Linked DNA regions of Zea mays. The protein of the gene in region 1 binds, or shares a complex with, the protein of each later gene. Links are inferred from orthologs where the notes say so. Each region holds a gene or a part of one and is shown in the gene's direction. Other genes may lie near its edges.

Region 1 (3,841 bases):
CGCTCGCACGGAGGAGGATGCAAGAAAGGGACGAGGCCAGGAACCAGGCGAGGATGCTGCTCGCGGACCTCCAGGCAAGGAACGCCCGGATGAAGGCGGCGGTTCCCGGAGCATCGTGCTCCAGAGTCGCGCGGCCTGACGCGTTCGCCGCCACCGGCTACGAGCACATCCAGGCCCAGGCCCAGGCCCAGGCCCAGGCACTCGCTCCTGCCGCGTTCGGGCCGCGGGGGCAGCGTGCCCGTGCGGGAACTGGCTACTACTGCGTTGCGTCGTCCAGCGGCTTCGGCCACAGGAGCATCGACTCGTCTCTGGACACCTGCGCCGTTCAGCCGTCGCTGCTTGGCTTCGCTTCCTCGAGCTCGAGCCAGGAGCATTTCGACCCTGACATGTTCTTGGTGGACGTCGCAGAATCGCCGCAGGATGTCGTTCCGGTTCCGGCCACCGCAGACTCAAGCCAGGGGAGAAGCTCCGGCTCCGGCTCCGGCACTTATGGTCATAGTTTGGCGAGCAAAAGGCCTTGCAGTGAAAGGAAGTAATAAATCATCAGCTCAAGCTGCAGCACGTCCTGCCACGGGCCATGGCCATGCTGCCTAAATCCTAGGCCGGTGCCATGTTAGTGCTTGCTCGGTAAAACTTATAAGATTATTGATGTGTTGTGGATTTGAATGGCGCCTAGTGTCTTTTACTGTGTTTGGTTTAAGGTCAACATGGGATGAGGCGCCCCTCGATTTTTTAGCATCACGCCGCCACCAAAAACTACTCTGGTGTTTACCTCGTTCGTACGTGACTCTCATTCAAACACTATTGAAACTATTTAATTAACTATCAATTAACTAAGGAAAAATCAACCAATTAGTTAAGAAAGGAAACTAACAAACAACTATCAATTAGTTAAAAAAGGGAACTAATTGATCAACTATCAATTAGCTAAGAAAAAACTAATAAATCAACTAAGGAAAAAAACAAATAAACCTAGCTGCATTATGCAACAGGCTTACTAGCATTGAATAATTGTGGCCGTTGTTGTATATCGCTTATCATGGTGTCATGAAATTATGTAACCTGGAAATTTTGTTTTTTTGGCATAAAAATCACTGTATTCAGAACAGTTCGTCTTGGGTCATCAACGACCTACCCACCAGAAGGGCTGTTTGCCTGTTGAGAGGGACGCCCATTTTTGTCAGCCAGTGCTCTGTCCAAGACAAAGAAGCAAGAGTGCTGAAATGAGAGGATAATGAGCATGCTGACTTGGCTGCCTTGGCTTCCACCCACACACTCGATAGGGGAAAAGCGAGCCCTTCCACGGTTCCACCACCCACTCGATAGTGGAAAAGTGAGCTCGAGCGTGTCCAGCAGCTATGGATAACTGACGATGGGGGTAACAAGCTTCACAGAACTCTCCCTCGAGCTCAGCGCTACCCTGAACAACTGAAGCCGAAATGGCGAGCCTGCAGAACCTGGTCTGCTCCGTATCCAAACAAGTACGTGCTCAAGCCCCTTCCTCACTGTTTTTTTCTGGAATTCATTTACTTTCCCTGCAGTTCTGAGGAGTAATAACAGCTTGAACCCGTTGCTTGTTTCCAGCTGGCTGTGCCAAATTGCGCGGCGACTACCAAACTGAACAGGGCTCCTCCCTCAGCTGTGGCGGCGAGCTCGATCCAAGGATCTTTGGACGACACCAGTAACCCCCCCTTTTGTTGTTGTTGTTGTTTTTTTTCCGTTCATGCATCTAGTGGTCGACAGAATCCTGGTTCATAACATCTCTCCGCTTGTATAGAGGTCACGAAGAGACGGCTAGCTTTGCTTGGTGCTGGAGCGTTAGCCACTGGCCTACTGAGGACAAGCTCTGCTGCGTTCGCTGAAGGTAACGATCATCCCTATATAGATGGCCTGGCATTGTATCTATCAGGATCGGACTAGGACGGTGTCCTCGAGCAGCGTTTTTTTTGCGTTTCTTACCTGTTTGACACTGATCGGAGCTGTTCAGAGGTGCCGAAGAATTACAAGTCGTACGTGGACGCGAAAGACGGGTACTCGTACCTTTATCCAGCTGAATGGAGGGTAGGTTGGCGCCATGCGATCGATTCTTGAACAGTTAAGAACTGTAGGGTGATTTTCATGGTGCCTTCGTTCCCTTGTCCCTGGATAGGATTTCGACTTCTTGGGTCATGATTCTGCGTTCAAAGACCGCAACCTGGCCCTTCAGTGTGTTCGTGTGGGGTTCATTCCTACCGAGAAAACAGACATCCGCGACCTAGGACCGATGGATGAGGTGGGGGTTTTGTTTCCTTCTTTCGACTATGTATTCTTCTTCTTTTTTATGGAAAAACTATGTGTTCTTCACTTTGATTAGGCACAAAAGATAAAACACATACTCTCTCCTCCGTTTAAATTATATACGTTTTAGCTCTGATAATCACTTTTGCTGATGTGATGAATATGTTTTTTTTTCCACATTACACCAGGCCATCTTCAACCTGGTAAACAACGTCTACGCTGCCCCGAACCAAATACCGTCGATCTACGACATGCAAGAGGTCTGTCATCTGTTCATCGCTTTATGCATGCAATTATCATTTGTTTGGAGTTGCCAAATCTAGTTGGATAACTCTGAGCAAAAAAATAAAAAAAATGGTGCTAGTGAAATAAGCGGCCTATCCTACTATTTTTGCAGCGCACCGTGGACGGCAAGAACTACTGGACGTTTGAGTACGATCTGGAGGCTCCGGGCTACGGCGTTTCTGCGTTTGCGACGGTCGCCATTGGAAACGGTATGATACCTATGAACGGGAAACGTTCATGTGTTTCGCTTCGCGTTGAAATAGAGAGAGATGAAACTCTGTTTGTTTGTTTGTTTTTTGCTCTAACTAGGTCGGTACTACACGCTGATCGTGACCGCGAACGAGCGCCGGTGGAGCAGGCTGCGGAACAGGCTCAAAGTCGTCGCGGACTCCTTCAAGATCTCGGACCTGACGGCGTGATCGCTTGCTTCTGTGACGGCCTCATGAGCATGGTGCGGCAACTTGTTTAGCGAAAGATGGGGGGGGGGGGGGGGGGGGGGGGGGGGGGAATGTGGTTGCATTGCTGTCGGTTCGTGGCTCCCAAAATTACACGCTCCGTGAACATGTCGGTGCAACACTAATATTACAGAGGCGAGAGACACCACAAGCACGAGCCTCTGAAAGAATGTTTCAGCTCATATATTACAACAATTACAATGCCCTCCAAACTTGCTAACTATTTCCAGAATTACTTGGATCTGCAAGCTATTTTTTTTATTTTTTTGTCAAGAAGACCAGGTCGGCTTACTCGGAACAGCAACAGGGCGGCAACTCCCAGCATTTTTCATGTGCCGAAAAGGGCCCCTGACTGAGTGGCCGCACAAGGAAACCTGATCATCCCCTAGGATAATTTACACCTAAACAAACTCAAAAGAATAATTACATTAGCCGATGCTGGCGAAGGCCCTTGCCAAAATGGGGTTGCATCAATCTAACATATAGACCGTTCTGGTCCATCAGAGAGTCATGTGTGCCCTGCTCAACTATCCTACCGCCATTCAAGACGACGATGTTATCAACATGCTTCATCATTGCCGCCCTGTGCGCAATGAGAATCGTTGTCTTGTTACCCATGACCAGAGTGTCTAGAGCTTCTTGCACCACTCTACTCGATTCAGACTCGATCGCAGAGCTGGCCTCGTCCAACAGCAATATAGGTGCGTTCTTCAAAACCACCCTAGCGATGGCAATCCGTTGCTTCTGTCCAGGTGTCAGATCAACCCCTCTCATTCCCACATGGGTGTCGTATCCATGTGGCAAGCTGCTGATGAAATGATGGG
Region 2 (3,665 bases), on another chromosome or scaffold:
TTTTTCCTTATTGAGTATGGGTACTCATCGGATAAAAAATACCCACACGAGTACGTGTATGAGTGTGAAATTGTATCCGTGCACAAGTAGGGGTATTAGAGTGGCGAGTTTTTAGTTTGACGGAACCGAGTCTGGGGTAGCAAAACCCGGCAGGTCTTTATCTGTTACCATTTCTAATCGAGAGGCTTGGTAGTGTTAGGCTGTCTCCAACAAGGGGCGCTAAAGCGTTCGGTATGCTATATTTAGCGTTTCTCGGTGTCCGCTATCGCTCCAGCAAGAACCGGCAAATGGTCCGCTAAAATATAGCGGCAGCTCGACGACCGGTAAATGTGGAGTGTTGTTGTTCATCCGCTATCCATCCGCACAGAGTTGTTGTCTGGTTCTTCTCGTCTTCGCCAACAGCATGCCACAGCACGACAGCTCTGCTACTCCACCCGTTGAGTACCACGACAGCTCTGCTACGTTCGGTATGAGAGATTATGCACGAAATCATCTCTGTATTTTCAGTGCAGCAACGTGATTTCATTTTATTTGTGTCTTGTTGCTTTATTTTCACCTTCCAGACTGAAGTTGAGTCACATTGACTCTCCGCCAACTGGTAAGGACAGAGGCAGGGCTTCGAGGCGTTCACGAGTAGAGTACTGGTGATGTCAGAGCTTTACTCATCGTTCGATTACAGTAAAAAAAAATGCATGGGCAGTTTATTGATGCAGTGATGCTAGCCTTTTTTTCTCTTACTATGAAGATGGGGGACTATGTTGTCTTGATACCAAAAGAACTGGGAGCAATTGCATTTTTTTTGTATAATACTAATTTAAGAAACTGGTTTGTTGATTACTAGGCTTAAGGATCTGATCTGTAACAATGTCATGTGCGGGTCTTCTTGTGACATCGCAATCTCGAGGGCACCCCAAGGCCGCCAAATGTTCTAGTGTCCATTGATGCTTGGTAAGAATTCAGTTAGAGCTTTACATGCAAATTAGTACTGTATATTTATTTGTAAACATAGCACCATTGTACTACTAATTAACTGTGTATATCTAAACCCTAAACCCTAGGTTGATGAAGACGTTCTAGCAACCAACCATAGGTCGCTATAAAAAAATCGTTGTGTAGTGTATGAGAGAATTTAGAAAGAACCACTCCATATACATGGAAAAATTTAAAGGACAGGGTTACAGATAATCCTACAAAGAGTGAGTTCTCACTTGTTTTGTTGGTGTCCGTTGACCAAAGCACATGCGACAGTTTCTTACAAATATAGCGCACAGAATCACGATTTTTTTTGGCGGGGGGAGGGGTTACTGTGGGACGTCCGTAGGTGTTCAGTTCCACAGAATCGTACCGAGTTTTTATGAGCTGATTATTTCCAGAAACGAAAAAAGGGACAGGAAAAGACAGCGGAAAAATCCTGGACGGTAGGTGTCCAACTCCAGCGCACCATTATCCGCTTGCTTTTTTGTCTCTTGGCCGCAACGTGAAGTGCAGCAGCAGCCAGCAGCGGGGGCTGGAGCACTCACCAGTCACCACTCAGCAGCGATCGCAGCACCGCGGCGAGATAATGAGCAGCCTGTCCTCCGGCATCTCTGCCTCGCCATCTGCAGCGCCCAGCACCGCTCGGCGCCGCCATGACGCAGCGCCGCAGCAGCTGAGGGTGAAGGCGGCGGCGCGGCCACAGCTGCTGCACGCCGGCCGCCGGCGTTCGAGTGTCGGGAGGAGGCCGGGCGGCGGCGCGGTGGTGGTGAGGGCCGGGCCTGGGCCGCTGTCGGAGATCGAGCCGGACCTGGAGGAGGACGCCATCGACGTGTACCGCACCAACGGCATCAGCCCGGTCCGTCGTCGTCGTCCCTCGTTTCCTTCCTTTTCTTCTCTTCTCTTCTCGGTTGTCGTTCCGCGCTTAGTTAGTTAGACTAGGAACACGCAGGAAAGCAGTGAACCTTGACGTAGGTTGTGCTATGAACGAGAGCTCTGAAGAACGGAGTACGTTTCGTTCGTTCGTTCGTGGATGACACTGGAGAGGATCTGTCTTGTCTTGTCTTGTCTTGCAGGAGGACTTCGAGTACGGGAAGTATGACGGACACCACACCTATTTCGAAGGCCAAGGTATTACTATCCTCCCAGAAAAAAATAAGAACTCCATTGTTCATGATATGATATCCTTCATTGCAAAAAGAAAAAGAAATAATAGTCCACTGATTGTTTTGTGCTGTGGTGAAACAAAAACCTGCAAACAACCGCAACACCCCCCGCTTTTCTTCCCAAGACAAGAAGGGCTTCTGGGAGGATGTCTCCGAGTGGTACCAAGAAGCTGAGCCTCCTCAGGGCTTTCAAGGTACTACCACTACTGTGTAGCTCTTTCAGATCTTTATGCTTCTGCCTTGCTCATTTGTTGCACTGCATCAATGGCGGCGATCTCTTGCAGCACTCATCTCCTGGGCATTTCCTCCTGCGATCATCCTCGGCATGGCTTTCAATGTGCCGGTAAGGATCCAGCACTTCCTCCTCCCAGTACCTAGTCCCCTGTTTGGAACACGAAGTTTCCTGGTCGGAAGTGAATTGTGCTTTCTGTCGGGAAAGTGAATTGTTTCCTGTGAAATTCCTGCGCTCCAAGCATTTGTGCCCCAAAAAAAAAAAAAAAAAAAACTCGTCACCTGCATCTACTGATCGGATCGGAGACGCGTCTGCTTGTGTCGCCAGGGGGAGTACCTGTACATCGGGGCGGCCGTCTTCATCGTGGTGTTCTGCGTCATCGAGATGGGCAAGCCCGACAAGCCGCACAACTTCGAGCCGGAGATCTACATGATGGAGAGGTCGGCCCGCGACAAGCTCATCGCCGACTACAACTCCATGGACATCTGGGACTTCAACGAGAAGTACGGCGAGCTCTGGGACTTCACCGTCAACACCAGGGACGACATCGTCAAGTCGACCTAGATGCATTGCGTACACCGCTCGCTGCCCTTCAGATTGTTGCCTCACAGCAAAAAAAACCCTGTGAAAGGAAGCTGTAGCTGCTAGGAAAATCTCTTGAATAAAAAGGAAAGCCATCCTTCCTGTAAGACTGGAGAGCCTGAAAATCTGTTCTATCCTCGTGCCATATAATACACGACATGTTCTGCAGACTGTTGCTTCAACTTTCTGCATGAATTGCCTTTGTTTTCATGTTTTCTCCAATACTTTGAAGGGAAGAGAAAAAAAAACACATGCAAGACTGATGCGCTGAACAATCAAGAGCCGCTGGTTTGCCACCACCCACCCATTCTTATTATTATTCAACAAAAGGAAAATGTCATTAATTCCCCTAAAAACATGTGCAGAAAAGGGAGAATTAGGAAGGAACCATCAGGGTAACAAAACTGGGGAGAAAAAAAGGGTAAGCCTCGCAGCTGTTTCCTCTCTTTTTTTTTTACACTTGGGATGCAGCTGGCTCGCTATGAAGACGGGCTCTTCTTTTTTTTCCCGAATTCCGAAAGAGAACAAGGCTGGTCTACTGCCCTGAGGAGGAGAGAACTAGCTTTTCTTCTAGACTACACATCCCACTGATGTTTGTTTCACCTGGATGTTCTGAAGAGCTGACTGCCTAGAGTCACGGTTGGGGTACCTTCCGCCATGACTGCTGTGAGGCTGATCTCCTGCTCGCGGATCCGTTGTATCTCAGCCTCCAC
Region 3 (2,952 bases), on another chromosome or scaffold:
GTAGATAGCCTTAATGCAATTGTATTCACGTTTAGAGAGAAGCACCGCTGTCTTGTGCTCGGCTCGATAGATGCAGAGTGGAGGGTAGATCTGTGGAGCCGCTGCAGGAGCTGGGGAATCTCTCTCCAACGGCCCAAGGTGGTCAACAGCAAGTCCATGGTCAATTCATGTTAATCCAGCCGACATGCAGAGGTGAAAGGGCAGTGATTCCTAGTACTGCTACACACTGAATTTCGCCGCGAAACGCTAGAGAATTCTTAGGAAAGAATGCAGATTCTGCACAGTACAACAAACTGTAAAGAGAACAGCAGAGATTAGGTTTTTTTGTTTTATTTTTTAATTTTTGACAAGAGAAACGCGCGCGCGCGCAGGCTGATTCTGTGGGATCCTGACGGCGGCGACACTGAAGAATTCAACAAAATTGCACCTGAATTAGAGATGGATTAATTATAGGATAAACTGAAGAAACAGTACATCAGCAGACGGCGGCGGCTAAACTCCTCTACCAAATCCACAGCTATTGCCCTGCTCTGAGACTGAAGCAGTCGGCATCTACGACTACGATTGAGTCAAGACGCCGTTGGGCTGGGCGCCTCTGGGGCGGGCGGCGGCGCATCAGGCGACGGCAACGCAGGTGGTGGAGGTGACGGCAGCAGCTGGTCCGGCGGCGGTGGCGACGCGATCTCCGCCAGCGGCGGCGGTGGTGACGGGAATGCCGGCGGGGGCAGCTGCTGCTCGGGAGGTGGGAGCACGGGCACCGGCGGCGGCGGTGACTGGAATGCCGGCGCGGGCAGCTGCTGCTCGGGAGGTTGGAGCACGGGCACCGGCGGCGGCGGCGGCGACAGAGGGGTGTCGGGCACAGCCGTCGGCCGTGAGGGCGGCGGCGGCCAGGCGGCGGCGTCCGGGGAGGGAAAGGCGGGATCTTGCGCGGGCGTGGGCGTGGGCGGCGGGCGGGCGGCCGTGGCGGGCGAGCGGTATGCGGGGTCCGTGTCGGGCAGGACGGGCTGGCACGCGTCGGCGGCGGCGCACGCGGACGATGCGGAGGCGGGGCTGGACTTGGCGGCGCGGTGGAGGACGGCGCGGAAGGCGAGGACGACGCCGACGACGGCGAGGGCGGCCAGGAGGGCGAGGAAGATCTTGGTGGCCTTGCCCACGTAGCAGCCGCCCCGCATGGCTGGCGGCTCTGGCTGCTCGTCCTGTGTGCCTGTGTCTCGTGGCCTTCCTTGGTTTGGTGGTGGTTGATGGCTGGTGGGGCGGTGGTGGCTGAGGGAGTGAGTGAGTACTCAGTAGTGGAGGAGTGATCCAGATTTGAATCGTACCAAAAATTACAGGCCAGGCCAAATTCATCTTCAACTGCAAACCTCATCAGGAACGGAAGGATGTCGGAACGGCCAGCAGCCGCTTTCTTCCTTTTACTTTTTTCTGATATTTCTATCGGCTACGATCTCATGCGTTAGCGAGTGCCGCCCCGCCCGCGCTATCCACTCGTCTCTCCGTCCCCATGGCCACTTATCTCAACGCACCGCCGGCAGCCACCACGACGACTGCAAGCTGCCGCCATGCCTTCTCCGGTGGCAGCCTCCGTCTACTCCGGCCGAGCCGACCGACGCTGCACGTGACGTGCCAAGCCGCCGCCTCCTCCCAGCAGCCGTCGTCCCCGTCCAGGAGGTCAGCCTGCCTCCTCGGCATCGCGTGCGCCGTCCTGCTCCGCCCACGTGCCGCCTCCGCCGCCGAAACCGACGACGAGCCGGCCAACAACGGCTGGTGGCTGACCGAGTTCCCCTTGCCCGTGCCCAAGATCGTCAACAGTAAGCCGTCCCGTCCGTCCTGCTCCATCCACCACTTAACTTTACTTGGTTCACTGACAATTGTGTCGGCGATGAGTGGCATGGCAGAGGAGATCAACAACGCGGAGACGGGCACGCGCTCCTTCCTCAAGAACGGCATCTACATGGCGGACATCGGGCCCAGCTTCGCGGCGCACGCGTACCGGCTGCGCAGCACGGCCTTCGACCTGCTGGCGCTGGAGGACCTGCTGGGCAAGGACGCCTCCAACTACGTCAACAAGTACCTCCGCCTCAAGTCCACCTTCATGTACTACGACTTCGACAAGCTCATCTCCGCCGCCGAAGACAAGCCGCCCTTCGTCGACCTCGCCAACCGCCTCTTCGACAGCTTCGAGACGCTCCAGGAGGCCGTCACAGCCAAGGACGACGCCAGGATCGGCGACCGCTACGCCGAGACAAAGCTCATCCTCCAGGAGCTCATGGCCAAGATGGCCTAGCAGAACCACAATTTTTCATTCATATATCATGATGTGTAAATGAATACTTGAAACTCACAAGGGGTATTGCAGAATTCCCAGAGCAGGGAAATACAATTATCATGTCAGGCTGTGTGCGTGTCCGACAACGGGTACACAGTTGTTTACATACACGCCCAGCTCAGCTCAGAGGCATTGGGCATTGGGCAAACGACAAATCAAGACTACGAATGAAAGCAAAAAAATTGAAAATGGCAACACATCCCAACATACAAATCAGATCAGGTCCTAAGATTAATATAATAGGCCAGCACACCCACCGCTGCCAGCCGTTAGCGCAATCAACAAGGCCACAAACCAAATAAAATTGGCAACTCACACCACCTCCAGACAAGGGGATGCAAATGATCGGTTGCATCACCAAATCAACACACACACAAGCATTACACTGGCAGCTCGCTTCCGCCGTATTTCATCATTGTGAGCTCCGCATCTGGGTTTGGCGCCTGGGGATCCCGATCTCACAGGAGTTCACCCTTGCAGCAAACCGCAATGAGCAAAGAGACTCCCCTGTCGAGGACGCTTCAGGAGACAGATTCACAAACATCAGTGTCTTCGAGTCCCCTCCGAGACACGGCTGTGTTGCCAAAAGCATCAGTTAGTACTTGATACCATTTAAGATTAAACTT
Region 4 (3,521 bases), on another chromosome or scaffold:
AAATCGGCCAAACAGGCGACTAGGCAGCCGACTACTATACATGCAGTTGAAAAAAAACATGGGAGAGAAGGTACTCCGAAATTTTCACTTCTACGGTGCCGAGATTAAAAGATGATTGCACCTGACAGCTGAAAGCTGCACCCCCAAAAAAATTGGTGTAGATTTTTCCCATCAGCTGTTATCTTAACCAGGTCCTATATTGTACTTTTGGTTGGCATTAGGCAAAGTGGTTCACTTTTTGTATTGCGTTGTGTCGTTATATCATCAAAACGTGAGGAAAAAAAAAAGATGCTGGTGGCCGCAGCTAGCGACGTAAATTATAGGATGGTGACGAGTGTGTGTATCCACTGTCAAATCCTAAATATCTTTCTTGAGCCTTATAATTTATCTAAAAAAAGTTTTTTAATACCCAAACTTGTTTGTTCTTCTAAATAGTTACTAGACTTTTGGCAATCCATATTATCTTCCTCTTTGGAACAATAATAGATGCACTAAGATCGTGTCTAGCAGTTACTCACATGGTTATCCAAAACACTGTTATGCACAGTAGATTGCACTATCTGTGGAGTGAAATTTGAATACGGAGATGAAGATGGATAAGCTATTAGAGATATTCTAATAAATTTTGTCTTTATACCATAGTATACTTTGCAAGTAAATAATAAGAATCAAATTTAATAGAAGGTGTACCTTTATTCTTGTTCTTGCAGTACTGCTATAAGTACATAACTTGCTTGCATTAGTACATAACTTGCTTGCATTTTGACCGGAACCCATCATTATCCTTCACAAAAGTAGTTTTGCGACTTATAAAGGTCACCTCGATATTCTTATGGTGTAAACTAATCCCGTTTTATTGAGAGAAAACCTTTGACCATCAAGCATTTTAGGCCTAGTTTAGATACTCTTGGAAGAGGGGGTTGAAGTGCATTGAAATGTATCCAATCAAAACAGACAACACTTGCCATGTCATCGATCACGACCTGCCACGTCAAACGGGGTCGCATATCAGCGTATTTGTCCGCGGCAGGGAGATTTACACGGTCATACGGGTTGGTTTTAGAAACAAAATTACTCTGATGTTAATTTTTAGAAATTGATTTAGAAAATGATTAAAATAAGAAAACTACGTGGGCTGTAGACTGTCCCGAAACTTGCGGCTCGGCCCGGTAAAACCACGGGCCTGCTGCTGCAGTGGCCGGCTGAAACATCCAGAGCCCATGCTGCCTCCGCGCGACGAATTTCGGGGCGTCATTATAAAGACCCGAGCCTGCGCGCCTTGCAGCCACAGTCTGGGGATAATAATCCACACTCCACAAGCAGCCATGGCGCCACCCATCACGTCCCTGTCGTCTCTGATGGCGTCCAGCCCAATCCCGACGCCGCCGCCGCCGCTCCCGAAGACCAGCGGCAGAGCGCTCTCCGTCGCGCCCTGCGGCTCCGCGTCGTCCTCGTCGCCGTCCACTTCCTCGACTCCTCATCCGGTGGCGGCGTCGGCGTCGGCGGGCAGGAGGGGGCTGCTGGCGCTGGGCGCCGGGTTCCTGGCCTCGGCCGCGCTGCTGTCCCCGGCGGGCGACGCCGGCGCCACGCGCATCGAGTACTACGCGACGGTCGGGGACAAGATGTGCGACCTGAGCCTCGTCAAGTCCGGCCTCGCGTACTGCGACGTCGAGGTCGGCACCGGCGTCCAGCCCCCGCGCGGCGAGCTCATCAATGTCAGTACCGAGACCACCGTCTCTTCTTTCCTGCATGCCTTGCGCCTTCCTCTGACTTAACCTACTCTGTAATAGTACAGTGGTCCATTTCCCTTCTGCACGAGTAACTCAGCAACATATGCCGCCATCCTGTTCTGCGTTCTGTGTGCTGCTTGCTTCGGATCCTAATTATATTCGTCCTCTCGATGGTCATCAGGTGCACTACACCGCGAGATTTCCCGACGGTACGCTGTTCGACAGCAGCTACAAGCGCGGGAGGCCACTGACGATGCGCATAGGCGCAGGCAAGGTGTGCATGTATAAGCATCCATTGTCGCTCACTGAAAACGACGTTCAGTTTTCATGCCAGTAAAAAATGATGGTCTGTTTCTTTCGCGTTCTCCGCGTGCAGATCCTCCGAGGGCTTGAACAGGGGATCAGTGGCGGCGGCGGTGTGCCGCCCATGCTTGTTGGTACGGACAGGAACTTGAGCAGTTTTTAGCTGTGCATTAAATATAGAGGCTTTGCTAATTTGGCTTGCTGTTCCATGACTGATGACTCCGTTGCAAACCTGCCTCAGGTGGAAAGCGCAAGCTGATGATACCTGCGTCACTGGCGTACGGGCCTGAACCGGCAGGCTGCTTCTCAGGTCGATTTTCAGAACTGCGCTAAATGACTTCGTACACCATAGATAAGCAAACTGCTCTCGCTCTAGAATTGTCAAGGAGACTGCTTCTCTAGTTTTTTCTTTTGTTTTTCTTTTTTTGACAGGAGACTGCAACATCCCCGGAAACTCCACACTTCTATATGACCTTTTCCTCGTCGGGATCTACAAGTGAGCCCTCGATGACAGGGAATGTTCAGAACCTAAGAGCAGAGACAAGGTCTGTCTGATATGTGTGCCGTGCACAGCGTTATTCTGAACTCGCCTGGTTTTCTGTGACTCACGTCCTTCTTTCCAGAGTAACCGATCGTTTTCGTGTGTCACACATGGAGGGTTTCAGGAGGAATTCTTGGCGGTGAAAGCACCTGCAGAGGCAGAGCCACTTGCAGAAGCTTCTGTACTCCAGAGAGCTACCTGGATTGAATAAAATGATGATATATATAAACCATCCTTGTTACGTAATAACGCCATTGTGGAACTTTGTAAAGACCAATCATATTGTTGACTATATAGCAGTTTGATACAGCCAAAGCGAGCAAGTTATCGGAGGTGTATGTCACATGCGCCACCAGCTTTGCTTGCACAGCCGATACGGAATCGTGAATTTGTTTGTGTCAGTCAGACTGTCAGCGTGACTGGCGAATGGCGTCAAACCCTTCAGCATTCGATCAATCATGCCGACTAAACACTCACGATTCGGATGTGCAGAGAGGTCTCGCGCTCGTGCCTGACACATGTGTGCCCGTAGTAGCTTGGAGCAAAAATTCTCATCGACCGGTTCAGACGGTGCCCGCCTCTGCTGTCTGCCTGAATTGGGGAGGCTGCTGAAGCAACAAAGGCGAAGCTAAACCACTGGCACCATTTCCATGGGTTGTGAAGACGTAGATTTGCAGAAGCGAAAGCGTAAGATAGGACCAAGCCGCATTAGCCGTTGGAGCGCCACATCGGGATCGGGAAACTATTTTGCTTGTGAGAGAGTATCACTGTCACATCACTGGGATGGTTGGGCTTGGGTTATAGGTACTAAAAAAAGTTCCAGTGCAATTTGACCTCACCTCTTTGGCTCTATGTCATTGGTGGTTCCTGGGAGCGCCGAGAGCTGTTTCCTCGGGCCTGTTTGATAGAGCTCTGGCTTGCCTAAAAATAATGGGTTTTTTTCTAAA
Region 5 (3,061 bases), on another chromosome or scaffold:
GTATGATTACACTATTAATTCTATTAAGCCTTGGGCCAGGACATCCCATCCCAGGGGCCAGGATATCACAATCCACCCCCCTTAGAAGACCGACGTCCTCGTCGGTCAACCCCAATCCAGGAACCTCCCCTCTTGGCCACGTCTGTATGTCTAGTGTCGTCATATGCCATGCCATGTGACCACTCCGGGCCCAGATGCGCCATGCGCCATATACCCGAACCCCCTAGCCCACACACGCCCGTGAAACCGCGAGGGTCGGCTCTGATACCACTTGTAACACCCCGTCCAATCCCTGGACCGGCGGTACTTACTCCTGGCAGCTCTCTAGGATCATATATTGTCCCCACATACCAACACAAGTCTTTTGTGCGCACTTTGTCCTCACTCATGCGCACCCGAGAAAACTTCCCGGTCGGTCACCCATCCCAAATTGCTCCAAGCCAAGCACGCTTAACTTGGAGGTTCTTTCAAGATATGCTTCCGAAAAAGAATATGCACCTTGTTGGTATGATTACACTATTAATTCTATTAAGCCTTGGGCCAGGACATCCCATCCCAGGGGCCAGGATATCACAATTTGTTCGGTTATTTTCAATCTATAGATTGGAAGAGATTGATACGTATTGAGAGAGATTTTGACTTACTAAGGATTGAAACCCTTTAATCACCTTCAATTTATATGGATTGGCATAGAAGGGAAGACCCCTCTCCCTCCCTTTCAACTACACTAGTTACCAATGGCACAAATCTCGTAGCATCTGCAGTGGCTACCAATGGCACAAATCATGTCTTGTATCGGGCGACAAAACCGCTAGTCACAAGAGTGCTGAGGCCAAAGCTGAGAGACTGGAGACGGCAGTAACGAAGATCCAAGCATTGTTGCCGTTTCAAGAAGACCTCTCCCTGATGATACCGTGGAACGCAAACCTGATGCGCGTTATCATGGGAGGCGACACCCAAAATCCTGAATTACAAAAACATTATTAATTTAATCACAGTTAAAAATTACAACAAGGGGATGTAGCTCAAATGGTAGAGCGCTCGCTTTGCATGCGAGAGGTACGGGGTTCGATCCCCCGCATCTCCAAACTGTTTTTTACCCCCCTTGTTTTATTTTTTTTACCTCTTCTCCCTCATTGTCACTTGGTCAGTACTCAGTACTACTCAGGATAACTGTGCGGACGAATTCGATTGCGTACCGTCTAAACTGACAGCGCAAGTGTTCGTGCGGCGGGAAAATTTCTGCAGTTTCATTTCTCGTTCGGAATATGGTTACCGTTCCTTTTTCTTTTTGTACATGTGGCCATTGGCTAAGTGAACAGCGACACCTCATCGCCTCGCCCTCCTACCACGACAACTGGAACGTGCGAGCCTCATCACCTCCCGACTCCCCTCCACGCCTTGGAATGCTGCCTGCGCAGACGCTAACACACACGTTTCCCATGGCAGCGTCCACGGCCTCGCGCATCTTCACGCCCTTCCTCCACCGGCACCAGCGGCGCACGAAGGCAGTCGTGGTCGCAGCCGCGAGCCCGCCCGACGCCGAACCGACTCCTGCGACGGCGGACGGTGCAGGGCCGGGGAAGAAGAAGACGGTGGACACCAGGATACACTGGTCCAACCCCGACGAAGGGTGGGTAGGAGGCAAGGCCAAGAAGGAAGGCGACGGCCGCGGCAGCAGCAAGAACGAGCCGTTGGGAGGGAGGTTCGCGGACCTCATCAACAACGCGGCCGAGTCTCACTACCAGTTGAGTTCATCTCCAATCCATGCTCATATGTCCTTTTGGATTGCCGTCCAGCTGTACATAAATTTGTAGAGCTCTGTTCGAGACACTGTCATCATCATGTCAATACTTTGTTACTAACGGCGACACATGACTGAACTGCAAAATCTATCACCCAGGTTCCTTGGCATAGCGCCAGAGGCGGACATCGAGGAGATCAAGACGGCGTACCGGCGGCTGTCCAAGGAGTACCACCCGGACACGACGACGCTGCCGCTCAAGGTGGCGTCGCAGAAGTTCATCCGCCTGCGAGAGGTGTACAACGTGCTGAGCAAGGAGGAGACACGGCGGTTCTACGACTGGACACTGGCGCAGGAGGCCGAGAGCCGCCGCCTGCAGCAGCTCAGGTCCAGGCTCGAGGACCCATACGAGCAGGACATCATCAACTACAAACCCGTGCCAGACATGGTTGACCGCCTCGGCGGCAAGAACATGAAGCTTAGCGATCAGGCCATGACTGCGCTCACCATCGATATCGTTATCATCATCATCTCCATCTGCTGCATCATCTATGCTGTTTTCTTCAAGGAGCAGTACTGACAGCAGCATACCAGCAACAGCAGCAAGGTTGCAGGAGTGTACCATAGACAGAACATTATAGGTAAATTAACTGATAATGCCCTAAGATTGTCTTTTGGGATGTTATCATGCACTGCATCATGTAATGTCCAATAGAATAAGGTAGGAACGACGATTATTCATGGTTTGTTGCCAACAATCCTATATTTGCATAATCAAATCATAATTCCAGTATAAATCTGTGACATCATAATTTATTGCGTCAAATCAAAAGACAATCTGAAAAGAGGGCAAAATTCCCTAACAAGATATCTTGTGCTCTTGCTGTACTCTACTTGGAACTTGGTTAAATAAGTGAGATGGAACTGGAGGTAATCTCCCATGCGATACATGAAACTACAGCATGGGTTGTAGGTATCAATCATCTAATGCCTAACCTTCACACTCAATGATCTTGACAACAGAAGAATCACCAATCTTTTCAAAGATTATCAACCTGTCGAAAGGCTTCACTATGCCAACCGACCGACCATAGCTCATCGCAAGTTTTATCCCATACTCTTCCTTTGTTAGCCCACCAGTTTCGGCCTATTACAGAGTTTTAAGCATTCATGGTTAGCCATATGTTTTTTTACATGTAACTCTAATGTTAGGGAAAAATACAATTGCTTACATACCTCATCAGTACTCCCCATCAAAGGGTACACGCCTCTCACTGCGAAACATTGTCTTGCCTGAAAGTGGTTTAATAATGGTTA

Evidence for each region.
Region 2: photosynthetic NDH subunit of lumenal location 1, chloroplastic (region 1) and Photosynthetic NDH subunit of subcomplex B 5, chloroplastic-like share a complex: the UniProt entries of both Arabidopsis thaliana proteins name them as parts of the chloroplast NDH complex. The link is inferred for Zea mays from reciprocal best matches to the Arabidopsis thaliana genes PnsL1 and PnsB5.
Region 3: photosynthetic NDH subunit of lumenal location 1, chloroplastic (region 1) and oxygen evolving enhancer protein 3 containing protein share a complex: the UniProt entries of both Arabidopsis thaliana proteins name them as parts of the chloroplast NDH complex. The link is inferred for Zea mays from reciprocal best matches to the Arabidopsis thaliana genes PnsL1 and PnsL3.
Region 4: photosynthetic NDH subunit of lumenal location 1, chloroplastic (region 1) and Photosynthetic NDH subunit of lumenal location 4, chloroplastic share a complex: the UniProt entries of both Arabidopsis thaliana proteins name them as parts of the chloroplast NDH complex. The link is inferred for Zea mays from reciprocal best matches to the Arabidopsis thaliana genes PnsL1 and PnsL4.
Region 5: photosynthetic NDH subunit of lumenal location 1, chloroplastic (region 1) and NAD(P)H-quinone oxidoreductase subunit T, chloroplastic share a complex: the UniProt entries of both Arabidopsis thaliana proteins name them as parts of the chloroplast NDH complex. The link is inferred for Zea mays from reciprocal best matches to the Arabidopsis thaliana genes PnsL1 and NdhT.

Annotation. Positions count from the first base shown.
Region 1 is NC_050096.1:42,029,640-42,033,480, forward strand, and holds photosynthetic NDH subunit of lumenal location 1, chloroplastic, read left to right. Parts: upstream 1-1,255; 5' UTR 1,256-1,439; coding exon 1,440-1,481; intron 1,482-1,560; coding exon 1,561-1,681; intron 1,682-1,777; coding exon 1,778-1,864; intron 1,865-1,987; coding exon 1,988-2,061; intron 2,062-2,149; coding exon 2,150-2,272; intron 2,273-2,465; coding exon 2,466-2,537; intron 2,538-2,674; coding exon 2,675-2,771; intron 2,772-2,871; coding exon 2,872-2,981; 3' UTR 2,982-3,278; downstream 3,279-3,841. Other genes in the region: ABC transporter B family member 20, read right to left, coding at 3,441-3,841. UniProt on the Arabidopsis thaliana protein: NDH shuttles electrons from NAD(P)H:plastoquinone, via FMN and iron-sulfur (Fe-S) centers, to quinones in the photosynthetic chain and possibly in a chloroplast respiratory chain.
Region 2 is NC_050098.1:158,249,942-158,253,606, reverse strand, and holds Photosynthetic NDH subunit of subcomplex B 5, chloroplastic-like, read left to right. Parts: upstream 1-1,518; 5' UTR 1,519-1,561; coding exon 1,562-1,831; intron 1,832-2,048; coding exon 2,049-2,103; intron 2,104-2,263; coding exon 2,264-2,332; intron 2,333-2,422; coding exon 2,423-2,481; intron 2,482-2,697; coding exon 2,698-2,934; 3' UTR 2,935-3,088; downstream 3,089-3,665. Other genes in the region: putative transmembrane protein kinase family protein, read right to left, coding at 3,552-3,665. UniProt on the Arabidopsis thaliana protein: NDH shuttles electrons from NAD(P)H:plastoquinone, via FMN and iron-sulfur (Fe-S) centers, to quinones in the photosynthetic chain and possibly in a chloroplast respiratory chain.
Region 3 is NC_050102.1:1,245,630-1,248,581, forward strand, and holds oxygen evolving enhancer protein 3 containing protein, read left to right. Parts: upstream 1-1,404; 5' UTR 1,405-1,501; coding exon 1,502-1,808; intron 1,809-1,895; coding exon 1,896-2,284; 3' UTR 2,285-2,392; downstream 2,393-2,952. Other genes in the region: vegetative cell wall protein gp1, read right to left, coding at 570-1,172; kinesin-related protein11, read right to left, coding at 2,739-2,900. UniProt on the Arabidopsis thaliana protein: NDH shuttles electrons from NAD(P)H:plastoquinone, via FMN and iron-sulfur (Fe-S) centers, to quinones in the photosynthetic chain and possibly in a chloroplast respiratory chain.
Region 4 is NC_050100.1:216,381,255-216,384,775, forward strand, and holds Photosynthetic NDH subunit of lumenal location 4, chloroplastic, read left to right. Parts: upstream 1-1,306; 5' UTR 1,307-1,325; coding exon 1,326-1,715; intron 1,716-1,911; coding exon 1,912-2,004; intron 2,005-2,106; coding exon 2,107-2,167; intron 2,168-2,274; coding exon 2,275-2,343; intron 2,344-2,465; coding exon 2,466-2,533; 3' UTR 2,534-2,578; intron 2,579-2,656; exon of another isoform or gene 2,657-2,698; 3' UTR 2,699-2,973; downstream 2,974-3,521. UniProt on the Arabidopsis thaliana protein: NDH shuttles electrons from NAD(P)H:plastoquinone, via FMN and iron-sulfur (Fe-S) centers, to quinones in the photosynthetic chain and possibly in a chloroplast respiratory chain.
Region 5 is NC_050099.1:14,035,888-14,038,948, forward strand, and holds NAD(P)H-quinone oxidoreductase subunit T, chloroplastic, read left to right. Parts: upstream 1-1,295; 5' UTR 1,296-1,406; coding exon 1,407-1,747; intron 1,748-1,903; coding exon 1,904-2,324; 3' UTR 2,325-2,554; downstream 2,555-3,061. Other genes in the region: Pyruvate kinase 1, cytosolic, read right to left, coding at 2,736-2,891, 2,981-3,037. UniProt on the Arabidopsis thaliana protein: NDH shuttles electrons from NAD(P)H:plastoquinone, via FMN and iron-sulfur (Fe-S) centers, to quinones in the photosynthetic chain and possibly in a chloroplast respiratory chain.